3 linked regions of the Oryzias latipes genome follow. The protein of the gene in region 1 interacts with the protein of each later gene in a pairwise test. Links are inferred from orthologs where the notes say so. Each region holds a gene or a part of one and is shown in the gene's direction. Other genes may lie near its edges.

Evidence for each region. The genes of interacting proteins can lie anywhere in the genome.
Region 2: the proteins of zcchc10 (region 1) and sfmbt1 interact in binary tests that used the Homo sapiens proteins (3 or more experiments, as listed by UniProt). The two-hybrid records come from large-scale screens. The link is inferred for Oryzias latipes from reciprocal best matches to the Homo sapiens genes ZCCHC10 and SFMBT1.
Region 3: the proteins of zcchc10 (region 1) and thap1 interact in binary tests that used the Homo sapiens proteins (3 or more experiments, as listed by UniProt). The two-hybrid records come from large-scale screens. The link is inferred for Oryzias latipes from reciprocal best matches to the Homo sapiens genes ZCCHC10 and THAP1.

Annotation. Positions count from the first base shown.
Region 1 is NC_019872.2:6,666,244-6,670,655, reverse strand, and holds the start of zcchc10 (zinc finger CCHC domain-containing protein 10), read left to right. Parts: upstream 1-1,519; 5' UTR 1,520-1,597; coding exon 1,598-1,638; intron 1,639-2,484; coding exon 2,485-2,646; intron 2,647-4,412.
Region 2 is NC_019863.2:15,515,757-15,519,730, reverse strand, and holds the start of sfmbt1 (scm-like with four MBT domains protein 1), read left to right. Parts: upstream 1-1,174; 5' UTR 1,175-1,289; intron 1,290-1,307; exon of another isoform or gene 1,308-1,420; intron 1,421-3,974. UniProt on the Homo sapiens protein: Histone-binding protein, which is part of various corepressor complexes. Mediates the recruitment of corepressor complexes to target genes, followed by chromatin compaction and repression of transcription.
Region 3 is NC_019870.2:29,950,368-29,954,450, forward strand, and holds the start of thap1 (THAP domain-containing protein 1), read left to right. Parts: upstream 1-1,283; 5' UTR 1,284-1,504; coding exon 1,505-1,575; exon of another isoform or gene 1,576-1,644; intron 1,645-3,210; coding exon 3,211-3,403; intron 3,404-4,083. UniProt on the Homo sapiens protein: DNA-binding transcription regulator that regulates endothelial cell proliferation and G1/S cell-cycle progression.

The DNA of each region.
Region 1 (4,412 bases):
TCTACTGTACTCTAATCTTCAATAATACTTTTTGTTATTAAAACTTTTGTGATTTAAGCTTTTCAAAGTTAGCCTAAATAATGAAAATGATCTTGTCTACAATAGGCATAGATTTTGCTTTTTAAATTTTTTATTCAGAGCAAATAATAATTTTTTCGTAAGACAGTCCTATGAGAAAGCTTTTTTGTTTTATTTTTTTCTTTGTTAACATACATGGTAAAAACATTTGAAATAAAAAAAAAATAAACAAACGAATTGCAACTTTAATAAGAATATGCATTGTATTTATTTTTGTCAGAAATTAGCTAAATGATGATGATAATGAGTATGAGATTAAAACAACTGTAATAATAACATAAACAAGTACAAAAACATAACAAAACATGCAAGCAAAACTGCAGTACTTCAACCCAACTACAATAGTACAAAGAATGTGTATCAATTAATTAACTTGGTAATACTGGCATCATATTGAAATTGGCAGACAATTAGGTTTTAACGTATCTGTTTCATCTAATTCAAATATATTAATTTGTTAAAATTAGGGCTGCACGATATGAGGAAAACTCGCGATATGCGATATTGGTGATTAATATTGCGATAACGATATAATTTGCAGTATATAAACAAATATCAAACCAACCAAAAACATCATTTCCATTTCAATGCAACAGCATAAAAATTATACTCCAAATGACCCTTGTCGACATAGGAGGCAAACATCAAACATAAAAGGGCTCATTTGATTGATCAACAACGTAAACGAGTCCTTCCGATTGGTTAAATGCATAAAGGGATTTATTTCATTTATTCAATATTTCAAGCTGCCATGAGTTTGTTTTAGCACATTTAACCCTTGTGCTATCTTAGATGACCCCCCCTTACAGTGACGTGTTCTTCCTACCATGACAAAGGTGGATAAAGGTGGAAAGATTTCATGTAATCCATGGACACCAGTGAAGATCACAAATCCTAGAAGAAAAAAGGTTCAGAGCACTGTTTAGTGGGTCTAGATGACCCCACTCCCAATGTTAAAGTGCTTAGGATAGCACAAGGGTCAAGGTAACCATTTATTGCGATTTTGCCGTCTTTTGCGGTATGCATATTGCACAGTTTGATGTCGCGATAACGATAAATTTGCGGTATATTGTGCAGGCCTAGTTAAAATCCATATCAAAATGTTGAATGTACAATCTTGCTGCTGCTAAAAAAGAAAATACATTTTTACATGATTTTTCAGTTTATCTACTATTTTTAACACTAAATCTGAAAAAGTACAAACTTTAACTCATCATCTAGGTAGTTTGTATGTTTGCTTATTTCCTTATTTGTACTATTGATGTTGTAACTGTGTTGAATTATTAGAACCACTGAATATTATTTCTACTTAATAAATGCATTAAATTAATTTAACGCATTTATTAATAAGGAAACTATAAAGAATTTTTGTTATGAAAATTTCAAAAATAGTGGGAAAAAATGAACATGACCTTAAAAAGCTTTATCCGTTTTTACCACTGGGGGCGCTGAATACATTAACTTTTCCGGAAGCTCGTTGTGAAGAAACACCACAGAAGAAGTTGCATCAGATTTTAACATGGCTACTCCTATGCACAGAATAATTGCCAGGAGACAAGCGTGAGTATGTTTTCGTTATCACAACGTTACTGATTCCATACCAAATTTATGTGAAGACAACATATCGATAAACATAAATTACACTTTTTTGTTGGGTGCAATATCCTATAGAAGCGGTAAATAACGATTATTTCACTGTTTAAAAACAGTTAAGATGCTGCGCTTCTTCTTTCGCTGTTCACACTTGTTTTCCGCCATTAACGCCCCAAACTAATTATCGATACAACCGCACACGTTCCTGAGGATTTTAGTAGACATTAAGGGGCGGAAAAACTACATTTTGTTTGTGTACAATCTAATAAAGAACGAGCTTACTGCATAAAAGTTGGGATAGAATTCAGTAGTTCGTGAATCGTTGATGGCCTCACCGACCGTGTTATGTTCACTTACTTGGGTAGTAATCAATTAATTCAATAAAATTGGGTTTAGTAAGAATCTGACGCAGGAAAAAACAAAATTTTCAGGACTTTTATAAATCCTTTTCAAAATATGAGATTTTATCAGTATCCACTGTAATATAAAATATTGAATTTTTCTTTTAGTTTGGTTTGGTTTACTTATGCCAAAATTGTTTTATGAACCAAATGGATTTGTAGTGGCCTTTTTTAAAGTGGAAAAAATCAAATTAAATCTAATTGTGAACTTGGAAGCTACTCTGCCTCAATATATATCATCTTCATATTTAAAAAGAAAAATTCAGAGGTTCAACCTCCGTCACTAAGATCAATTACAAACATTTTCTTGTGAAAAACTATCAAGTATTTCCAGGTATTTATGGATTTGGCCCATTTAACGTACTCCTTTTGTAGTGTTGAATCTGAAACCTCTTTTTTTTTTTTTCTACAGGGAGGCAAACAAACAGCATGTACGATGTCAAAAGTGTTTGGAGTTGGGACACTGGACCTATGAATGTACGGGCAAAAGAAAATACGTCCACAGACCATCAAGAACAGTTGAGATGAAAAAGAAATTGAAAGAAGTCGAAAATAAACCACTAAGCATTACTGGGTAAGGTCACTTATTCTTTTCTTAAATATCCTAATTGTATTCTTTCTTAAATTTGAATTTAACCACAAGGGGGCACAATTCAATGCTTTCATGTGGCGAATCCCAAGTCTGTAAATGCTGGAGGTTGTGACTGTATACAATATGAAAAACATAACCAAATCCAAAAACGGAACCACAGACAGAACTGTTCTACCAGATTGGCTGTAGAGCGGTTGGTGAGGTGTGCTGTAGGTGTGACCGAAGACTTCAAGGTGGAGGTGGGACTGGACAATGGATCAGCTTGAACTCTTCATTGTTTGATGTGATGATGGACAGACTGACAGACGAGGTTTAGACAAGAATCTCTGTGGACTGTGATGTTTTCAGATGACACTGTGTTCTGTAGTGAAGGAACATCTAGAGAGGTGTAGGCTTGTTCTGGAAAGAAGAGGAGTGAAGGTCAATCTCAGAAGGACAATGAGGAGGATTCTGGTGAGATTACAGGGAGCCGGGGTGAAGAAGATGGACGACTTGAAGTATTTAGAGGTCAGCAGTCCAAAGCAACAGATTGAGGAAGGATTCAGATGTGATGTGTGACAAAAAAGTTTCAGCAAGAATGAAAGGAAAGGTGCAGAAGACAATGGAAAGAACAGCCTTAGTGTTGGTTTAGACTAGAGCAGGGGTGGGCAATTCCAGGCCACGAGGGCCGGTGTGTCTGCATGATTTCCAGATACTCTTGCCCTACTCATGGCTGATTACCTGGTTCAGGTGTGTCCAGCCAATCAGAACATGCCAGAGCAGGGTATGCTGGAAAACATGCAGGACTGCGGCCCTCAGTGCCCACCTCTGGACTAGAGCATGGTTGTCAGAGTCCAGGGGGGTATTCCAGGAAGCATGTTTAAACTACCCTGACTTTAAGCCTGAACTCTGGCTGAAATCCGCCTGAACTTGCTTACTCTGGGTATGGCGGTTCCAAAAGACCGGATATGAGTTGGCGTAATTACGCTCGACTGGGTAACCCTGGGTTACCGCACGTGCACAGCAGGTACATAAAGACATTCTCAATGGATCGCCGATATCCCAAGTCACCATGGAAACGCGTGGAGAACAAAAGAGAGCGCTATACTTCAGTGAGACGGAGTCTGAGATTTTAATGACGGCGTATGAAGATTATACGCCCATCAAAAAGTAACACGGCTGCATCAGCAAAAGAGAGTTTCTGCTTGGAGAAAAAGAACGGAGAAATAAACGCACAAGTTTCTGATCTTATTTAAAATGACATTGTGACGTATATAAATAAAACTTATCGAACTTAAAAAAATTGATTCAAATGGTAACAAGTGATGGAATTAAATTTATTCAACCTAATTTCTTACGTCTATAAAACTCTAATTGTTTTTAGAACTCAAATTTACATAGTTATCTAACTAAATGTCATATTACTCCAAATCAATTAAATGTTTTTCCATCTCAATTTATGGTACTTCTTGAACTCTCATATGTCTAAGTTAGAGGCTGCAGATTTTCTCATTTCTATAACATTAAAATGAATGACATGGTGTGAATTTACAATATATACCATGCCTTTAATTATCATGAGTCTGACTGTAACTTCAGTTCTTAGACTGCACTCTTGTACTAGTGCTGCTAAATAACCTCATCCTCCTCTCCCTCCCTCTCACTCATGGTGCAGAAAGAATTAAACATAACAGGATAAAATAACACAGTAAAACAACAAAACACATTTGGTCAAAAGAAAGGTGTGGATTCTGACACCCCTGGTTGAG
Region 2 (3,974 bases), on another chromosome or scaffold:
GCATTAAACAAGTCTTCACCCTACAGTTTAGTTTATAACGTGTTTTATGTGAAGAAGATGACATTTTACATAATGTTTTTTGGAACAACCCTCTGTGAAGCCTCGCATTTATTTCAGTTTTATGGCCGTTTTGATTTAAAAGAGAAAACGCATATTGTTGGAGCGAATTAAAAAGAATGAACTCGTCTTAAATATTTCCAATACTTGTAGTTTGATGAATTTATTTTAAAATAAATCCGTATGATTAAGGGTTATTCTCGACACCGACTATTTCCCTTGTTAATGTAAAAACCAGAATGGGCAATCTTTTTTTTTTTTCCTGCCGCGTTAGCGCACGAGCTCTTTTTCTTTCGTCACAATGGGCATAACGGCTTGGGCTGTTGGTGAAGACTGCTCCTCACTAATCTTTAACGGTCCAAATGACTGATAAAATGTTGTTTCGTCAACGTCGCGCGCTCGGGAGCTTTTTGAAAAGCTTTCACAGATTCGATTTAAAAAAAAAAGCGACTTTACTGAAGAAGCACGTGAAATATGTCAACGTACTGCACTCACACCGACAGTCTGCATTTTTAACAATTTCTCCCGCCCTCTCCTCCAAAAACCCGACTTGACACCCCTGAGTGGCGTGAAGGACCGCTGTGCACTGACCCGACCCATTATTTGCTATCGGTTGACGAGTTCCTGTCATCTATTTAGCTAAAAAGTAGAGTCAGTCCGCCTTTCTCCGCCTCGTCCAAGTGGCTCTTTATTAATAAACTAGAACATCGAATAAAATAATAATAATAATAAAACTCTGAGGTCTCATTACCATAAAATATACTTTAAAAACCGAGGCTGCGTATTCACACGCCACACCGCCAAAATTAACTGGACTTATCGAAAGTAGCTCGATTTTTGTACAATAAATCCAATTTTAAACCATAATAAAGTATTCTTTCGGCCTTTTAGCACTACATTCAAGTTTGTCCTGATAATTCATAACACATAATGTAGTCACAAAGAGGGACGCATTGTGTTTTCTTTTGTGTGTTGTAAAATGTTAGTCCTGACTCTGGTAATGTGGTGTTTCATTGTGTGTGTGAAGATGGAAGTCAGCGTGATGATGAAGCCAGGCTCAGAGGCATATAAGCGGCGGAGCATGCGCAGTGGCCACTTGTGCCATATTGGAATGAGGTCGTGAACGAAAGCGTGAAGCACGCGAGAAGCTGCACGAGGCACACCAGAAATAGGGGGCCTCAACTCTAAACAGTAATAGCTCCTCTCGTTGCCCTGACGACGGATTCAGCCACGTAAGTATCTTATTTTGAAAGGTCAAACCGGAACGTTGTGGTTCTTAGTCACGCTGACTTTAATATCACTGCGAGCGAGCAGGCGAAGAGGAACGGCATCTAAAAAACCTACTTGGAAAAACTACTTATCGGTAAGGGGTTATTTTTGCGACTAAATATTCACATAGTCCGTGTTGTTTGTCACAAACCGTTGCGTGTGTTTTGCACTGTGGTGGCGCATTCGTCTTTTTTCCCGTCTCTCAAAAAGATGAGTCGGCTTCGGTCGAGTGTAAGCGCCCTTATTGCTCGGCAGCCTGCTCCTATTGCTCAAGCCGTGACGTTCAGTAACTTGATTCGGATATAGGCGATCTCACCCAGCGTCTAAACACTCCCGATTGACCCCGTTAGATTCCTTCTTAAAGGTAATACTTTATTAGTTTGACACAATTGAAATTCGGCGTGTGTAATGTTGCGCGAAGTGTGAAAGTTAGTCCCTCTGCAAAGCCATTCATGGCCCATCTCTCTTTCTGAATGCTGCGGCTCTTCCGAAAAAAAGCGCAATCTAAAGCTAGATACACTTCAAGGACCGTGTGGAAATTTACAGTTATTTGGCCTTGAGTAACTCCTATTTTTTTTTAATAATGTCGAATTCTTACATAATGAAGGTTGCGCGACCCCGTCCGATTTTTTTTAAATCATTATTATTATTTTGTATGTGTCGATCAGTAAAACTAACTGCCGTCTTTTCCAAGTCGATCAGCTGTATGGTGCTGTGCGGGATTTACCTGGCGCCTGTCACACTGCACGCGGACTGATCGCAACCGTTCAATATTCCTCTGCACCTTAACTTCCCTATTGTGCAACTTGAGTGGGTCGCCGGCCGCGCGCTGTTTCAGTTGACGTCCCGCTCTACGCAAAAAAAAGAAGGAAAACAGCAACGCGGCAAGCGCGTGGGGTAGTTGTGTGGAAAGACGGCCATCGGTGCTCACTGTATGGAAAATATCTTCATGTTGAACGCTGTGCTTGGTCGGTACTTCTAGAAGGTTGGAGGACTTGGTGACTTCCCGTCCAGCTCTAATTTGATTGTCTTCATGCTTTTATTTTGGTGAATAATGCTGCTGGTAGTTGCAGTTATTTACATCTCACTGGGAGGTATCAGCTGCCTTTGTGGGGGCCACCTCTGCGCCTTCACTCATGTTCAGGACTTTCTTTCATATTATTGGCTTAAACAATAAAATGTAGTCTTTTATATATACAAAAAGTAGTTCCAGGCATTGGCACCAGTGTTTCTGATGAAATCAGAATGTTTACACAACATAAATCAAATTGAAATTGCAGCAATAACTCAAAAATAATGTCCTGTTAATTGCTTTTACACACAGCTTTTTCTTTTTTCTCCCCGAATTTCTTGACAATCGTTTCTATTTAGTGTGTCATTTTCAGAGAAATGCTTTTTGCAACAAACCAATCAATTCCAATATAAAATGCAACAATTCAACCAAACAAAGCCCAATTCATGTGACACCTAAAATTATTACTAAAAAGCTTTACAAAGATGAAACAAGATTGTAGAAGGCTGATAAATGGGCTTAATTATTCTGTAATATTGTCAGAAAAATGCCAGATCTATAAATATAAACGTAATAACATATTTTATTAGGCTTAAGGAAATCAAACTATGCCCAACCTGTTCTTTTCACTTCTGTGCAGCAAACACTAAAAAAAAAAGATTTTGCTTTATACTTTTTATAGAAAAACAGAACAGTGATGACAGGAATTGATCAAAGTAATGGGTGGTGTTGTGTGCTGTTGTGGCAGTCAGTCATTGTGCTCTCCATAAACCACAACTCTTTGTCTGAAATTGTTTAGGCTTCTTGAAGTGTGTTTTTCTTTGCTATCTAATTTTAGTCTGCTCACAGATCCTGCTGGTTGATCTCTTCCTTCTAACAGTTTTTCAACTACGATGATACCAATTTTGTTGCCAAGAAGATGTGGTTTAAAGAAAAAAAAAATGTAAACATTTATTTAAAAGCAGGGCTTTTTTGTTTTGTTTTTTAGCTTGTATCACCACTGTGTTGATATTTGAAATAACCTGTTCCTCCCGTAGGGGCAGCTTCACAGTTGCACTCTGAATTAAGGAATTATGCAATTATCTCATAAAAGCACATAACGGCATGCACGAAATGTGGGAAGATACTCAAAAGTGGAGAACCTTTTTTTTTTTTTCAAATCAGCTGGAGAGGTTTAGATATGACGAGGTTCTGTTTGGAAAAGCCTTCCTCCTTTCTAACTTTTTGAGTTCAGACAAGTTTTGCTTTTTAGAAAAACTTGGTGGCAAGTTGAGGGCTGATGATAACACGGCTGGATGAGTGCTTACATTTCGGGGCTTTTGTTGTTTGCGAGTGTTTATGCTTTAGCCTGGGTACATTTCGGCTTGGTTCTTTCTCTTTCAGGTTTCGTTCAGGTTCTCCGTTGGTGCAAGAACCTGAATTGTAGACTTCTGCTCACAGACCACTCGCTGTATATAGAGGAAGTTGATTTTCTTCCTGTCTGTCTTCACAAGCTGATGCAGCATTGATGCATTGAACTTTTGCAGAAATGCAACGACTAATGCGCTTCAGTTATAGTACATTGTGCACATTTGTTTTTACATAGACTGAGCCTGAGCACTTAAATACTGTATTCAAATAGCTGTGCAGCTTGACT
Region 3 (4,083 bases), on another chromosome or scaffold:
GTCAAATCCGCCGTTAAAAAACAAAAGTAGTGAACGTGGCGTCCAAATTCCTTTTAAAATCCAGGGCTCTACATAATAGTGCTGCACATAGGGGTTAGGGCGGGAATTTGGACGCAACCTTAGTATTTATAGAGGTGGGCGGAGTCACAGTAACGGCACTGCATGATTGGACCCTTGCCTTATGACCTCATAGGGAAAGAAAGCTCATTGTGAGAAGAACCCTCCACGTGCCGCGGTGGCGCCCGGCCCGGGCTGCCGACGGCTGGGTTAGAGTAAAATACAGGATGAACAACAACCCCCACCCCTTTCATCCAGGACACCTACAGATCATTTTGACCAAATCAACCAAACAAGACAGAAATCTTTGGTCATTAATGTCTAAAAAAGGTTTTAGGAGTTAAAAAAAGGAATATTCTGTGAGTCTCTGAAACAACTTGATCTATACTTTCCCTTTTTTTAACTCAAAGAGAAAATGTGAGTATGAACCCCAGTGAGCAGCTGAAAAGCCCAACAGAGACCGTTCCCTCAGACAAACATGACCCAAAGACAGCTGGTGACCTTTGACCTCACCACCGCGGAACGTGGACCAACACTGCAGATGCTCCTGGTTCGGCCGCCGTAAAGCGGCTAGAAGGAAGGCTCTCCGGCGGCTCGCCAACACCGCCCAAAACATGCTGGGTGCCCCCTCCCCGCCCTGGAAACCCCCCCACAGCTCCCGCTGCCTCAGCAGAGCAGAGAGCCTCATCAGAGACGCTACACGCCCCGGACCGCCGCCGTCTGACCTGCTGCCTTCAGGCAAACGCCGCTGGTGAAGAGAGACGGAAAGACCCAAAACCATTTCCCTCCAACCGCCATAAACCAGTTGGAGACGCCAGAAACCGTGAAACCTGGACGTCTGCTGGTCACTGAGGAGACTGTGGACGTCTGCTTCATATTTAGGATCATTGTCTTTACTTTCAACCATTTCAACACATATTGAAGCACTTTTTCCCCACAACTTTATATTATAAAGAATGAGTCACGACAACACAGCAGCTTCAATAAAACTCATTACATTTTCCTAATAAGAACGAGAAGGGAAAAGAACAAAAAGCTGGATTGTGTGACATTTTACTCAATATCTACATCCAAGCCCGTTTTATGTCGTTTCGTCCATTATTTGTTATTTTAGTAAGTTTTTTTTTTTTAAAGGTATGAATGTTGCACTGACACGAAGACACGTTAATGTTATTGTACACGTGACACAGATCTCTGTATCCCTGAAATGCTCTCATAATCAATCAGTCAATCAATGGCAGCTGTGCCTGTTGACGGTTCAAACTCGTCTCCTCCACTCCCGCCCGTTGGAGGAAGCGCAGCTCTCCAGCGCTCTGCGCATGCCCAGAGAAAGCCTGAGCCAATCACGTTTCAGAACACAGATCACGTGATTCTTCCGCCGCCATAGTTGTTAGTGGCAGCGAAGCCCTCGCTCTGTCCGCGTTCGGCTGCTGTCCGGGCCGCCGCCATGGTCCAGACGTGCTCGGCGTACGGCTGCAAGAACCGGTACCACAAAGACAAAGACATTTCCTTCCACAAGTAAGCCCCTCCCACAGAGGCGGACGCTCCGCCGCCGGAGCGCCGGTTTTCCGGGAAGAAAACCTCCCGGTAAACGCACCTAACGGAGACGTTCCCTCACTCGCGCTCCGATCCACGGTGCATGATGGGAAAATAAAAAAGAAAGTTTGGGTCATGAGTCCGTCCGTCCGGTACCGGCGGGTCCACATGCTGCTGGTGGTTCTCGGTCAACCGAGTGACTGCTGGAATCCCGACTACCGAGTACCCTTTGAGCAATGCTTCAACAGGTTTAGGAGGTCAAAGGTTAACCTTCACCACTCATCCGGGTCTGTCCGGTACAGACGTTTGGACTGAACGACTTAAGGACGGTAGTCCGCTCCGGTTTCGTTCGATACCTGCAGTGATCCTACGGTGTCAAACCGTTACACTGGATTCAACCGGTCAAACACGTTTATTCGAGTCCCACTAGAGGCAAAGAAAGGCTTTCAATGGGTTCATCTTTTCTACGGTGACCCTGAAGTGCAAATAGCTTAACGTGAAGCATTTAAAAACTCACAACGACCAATAAAAAGCGAAACAAATAATCAGAAACTAAAACTATTCCTAGAAATGTTGGGAAAATGAAGCCCAAGGAGAAACCAGAAAGGTGGATTTGTTGGAGGATCATGGGACGGATGTATCCACGACCTTCATGTCAGCTTCTGACTGACATGAAGGTCAAGCGTCTTCGTCCAATCAGCTCAGTCCTATGGACCTTTTCCGGGTTCTCATTGTTTCATTTTACATCATTTCATTTCGTTTTCTGTATATTTTTTTTAATATTTGTTTGTATGTTGTGATCTTAAAAAGGTTTTGCGTCACATGACTTATTGATGTGATTTGTACTTCAGGGCCACCGTACTTTCCTGTTGCAGTCAAAGCTGACGGCTGGATATCTCCGTTATGCTGCCATTTTTGTTGCTCTGCTAATGTTAGGTGGGGGGCAAAGGGATGATGGGAATCAGGGCGGGCTTAGTCCACATCAATAGCCCCGCCCACAACTCGGAGGTGAATTTGTGATCAGCTCCTGCCGCTCTGCAGACACTGTTCTAGAAAAGGAAAATGGTAAAAAAAACCATCGTTAAGACCTCTGGGAACACTTTGACAGCTCATTGGGTGATGGCAGTTTAAGACTGAAATGACTGACAGGAATGAGAAATGAATATGCAACCAGCTCAGCGGCCCTGTGGTCAGTGTCCACCCTGAGACTGGAAGGTCGTGGGTTCAAACCCAGGCAGAGTCATACCAAAGACTATAAAAATGGGGCCCAATGCCTCCCTGCTTGACACTCAGTATTAGGGGGTTGGATTGGGGGGTTAAACCACCAAATGGTCTGCAGCTCACCGCTCCGCCAGGGGGAGGGGTCAAATGTGGCGCAAAAAAGGTCACACAGATGGTGTGATTTAATTTAATGTTAATGGTCGTGGAGGGGGGAGAATAAGTCACTACCAGGACCTTGTTGGCTCTCTGTGGCAGAGTTTACGGTGACGGGAGCCTCTGCACCTTTAGATACGTTTAGAACTTTACTGGAGATTAAAACATTTGTTTACCAGACGGAAGCACAGAAACGTGTCCGGCGATGGGCTGAACGTGGTGTTTGTCGTCCCGGACTGCAAGGTTCCCGTTGGCGCGTCCGGACGTTTGCGGGAAGTGGGTGGCGGCCATGAGGAGGAACAACTTCAAACCAACAAAGTACAGCAACATCTGCTCCCAACACTTCACCAGCGACTGCTTCAAGAGGGAGTGCAACAACCGCGTGCTGAAGGAGAACGCCGTGCCGTCGCTCTTCAGCGCCAACCTCAGCTTCAAGGTAACGCGGCTCAGAGGGCCGATGAGGAGCGCCATGACCACGGGCAGCCATGCGTCTTTTCTGTCTGTGGGGTCTGTAGCATAAAGTATGTTTATGGATTTGTATGCATGGATTTCATACAGAAATCTGATTGGTCCAGTTTCTGACTCGGCTAGTGATGCTCCGCCCACAAACGTGTCCATGGCGTCTAGGCCGGTGGTTGTAGGTTTCACGGCCTGAAACCCGTTTGGGAAGCAGGTGAACAGTGTTGTGGTGCATTGTGGGTCAGCAAAACAGTGTTGTGGTGCATTGTGGGTCAGCAAAACAGTGTTGTGGTGCATTGTGGGTCAGCAAAACAGTGTTGTGGTGCATTGTGGGTCAGCATTGTGGGTCAGCAAAACAGTGTTGTGGTGCATTGTGGGTCAGCATTGTGGGTCAGCAAAACAGTGTTGTGGTGCATTGTGGGTCAGCAGACCAGCGACGGCTCAGCCTTACTGTAAAAGGTTTTAATCTGAAACAGACTGATCTGCTCTGATTTAGTTTTTTCTCACGTTTTCTGACTTCTACAGGTTTCTAACCTGAAGGTCGTCTCACAGCCGCGACCTACATTATTGCACATTTTCCTCGTATGATTCAGTCGTTCATACGTGTCTCTTTCGTCATCCGTGGAGGGTTTCAGCCGACGGGTTTTGAACTGCTAA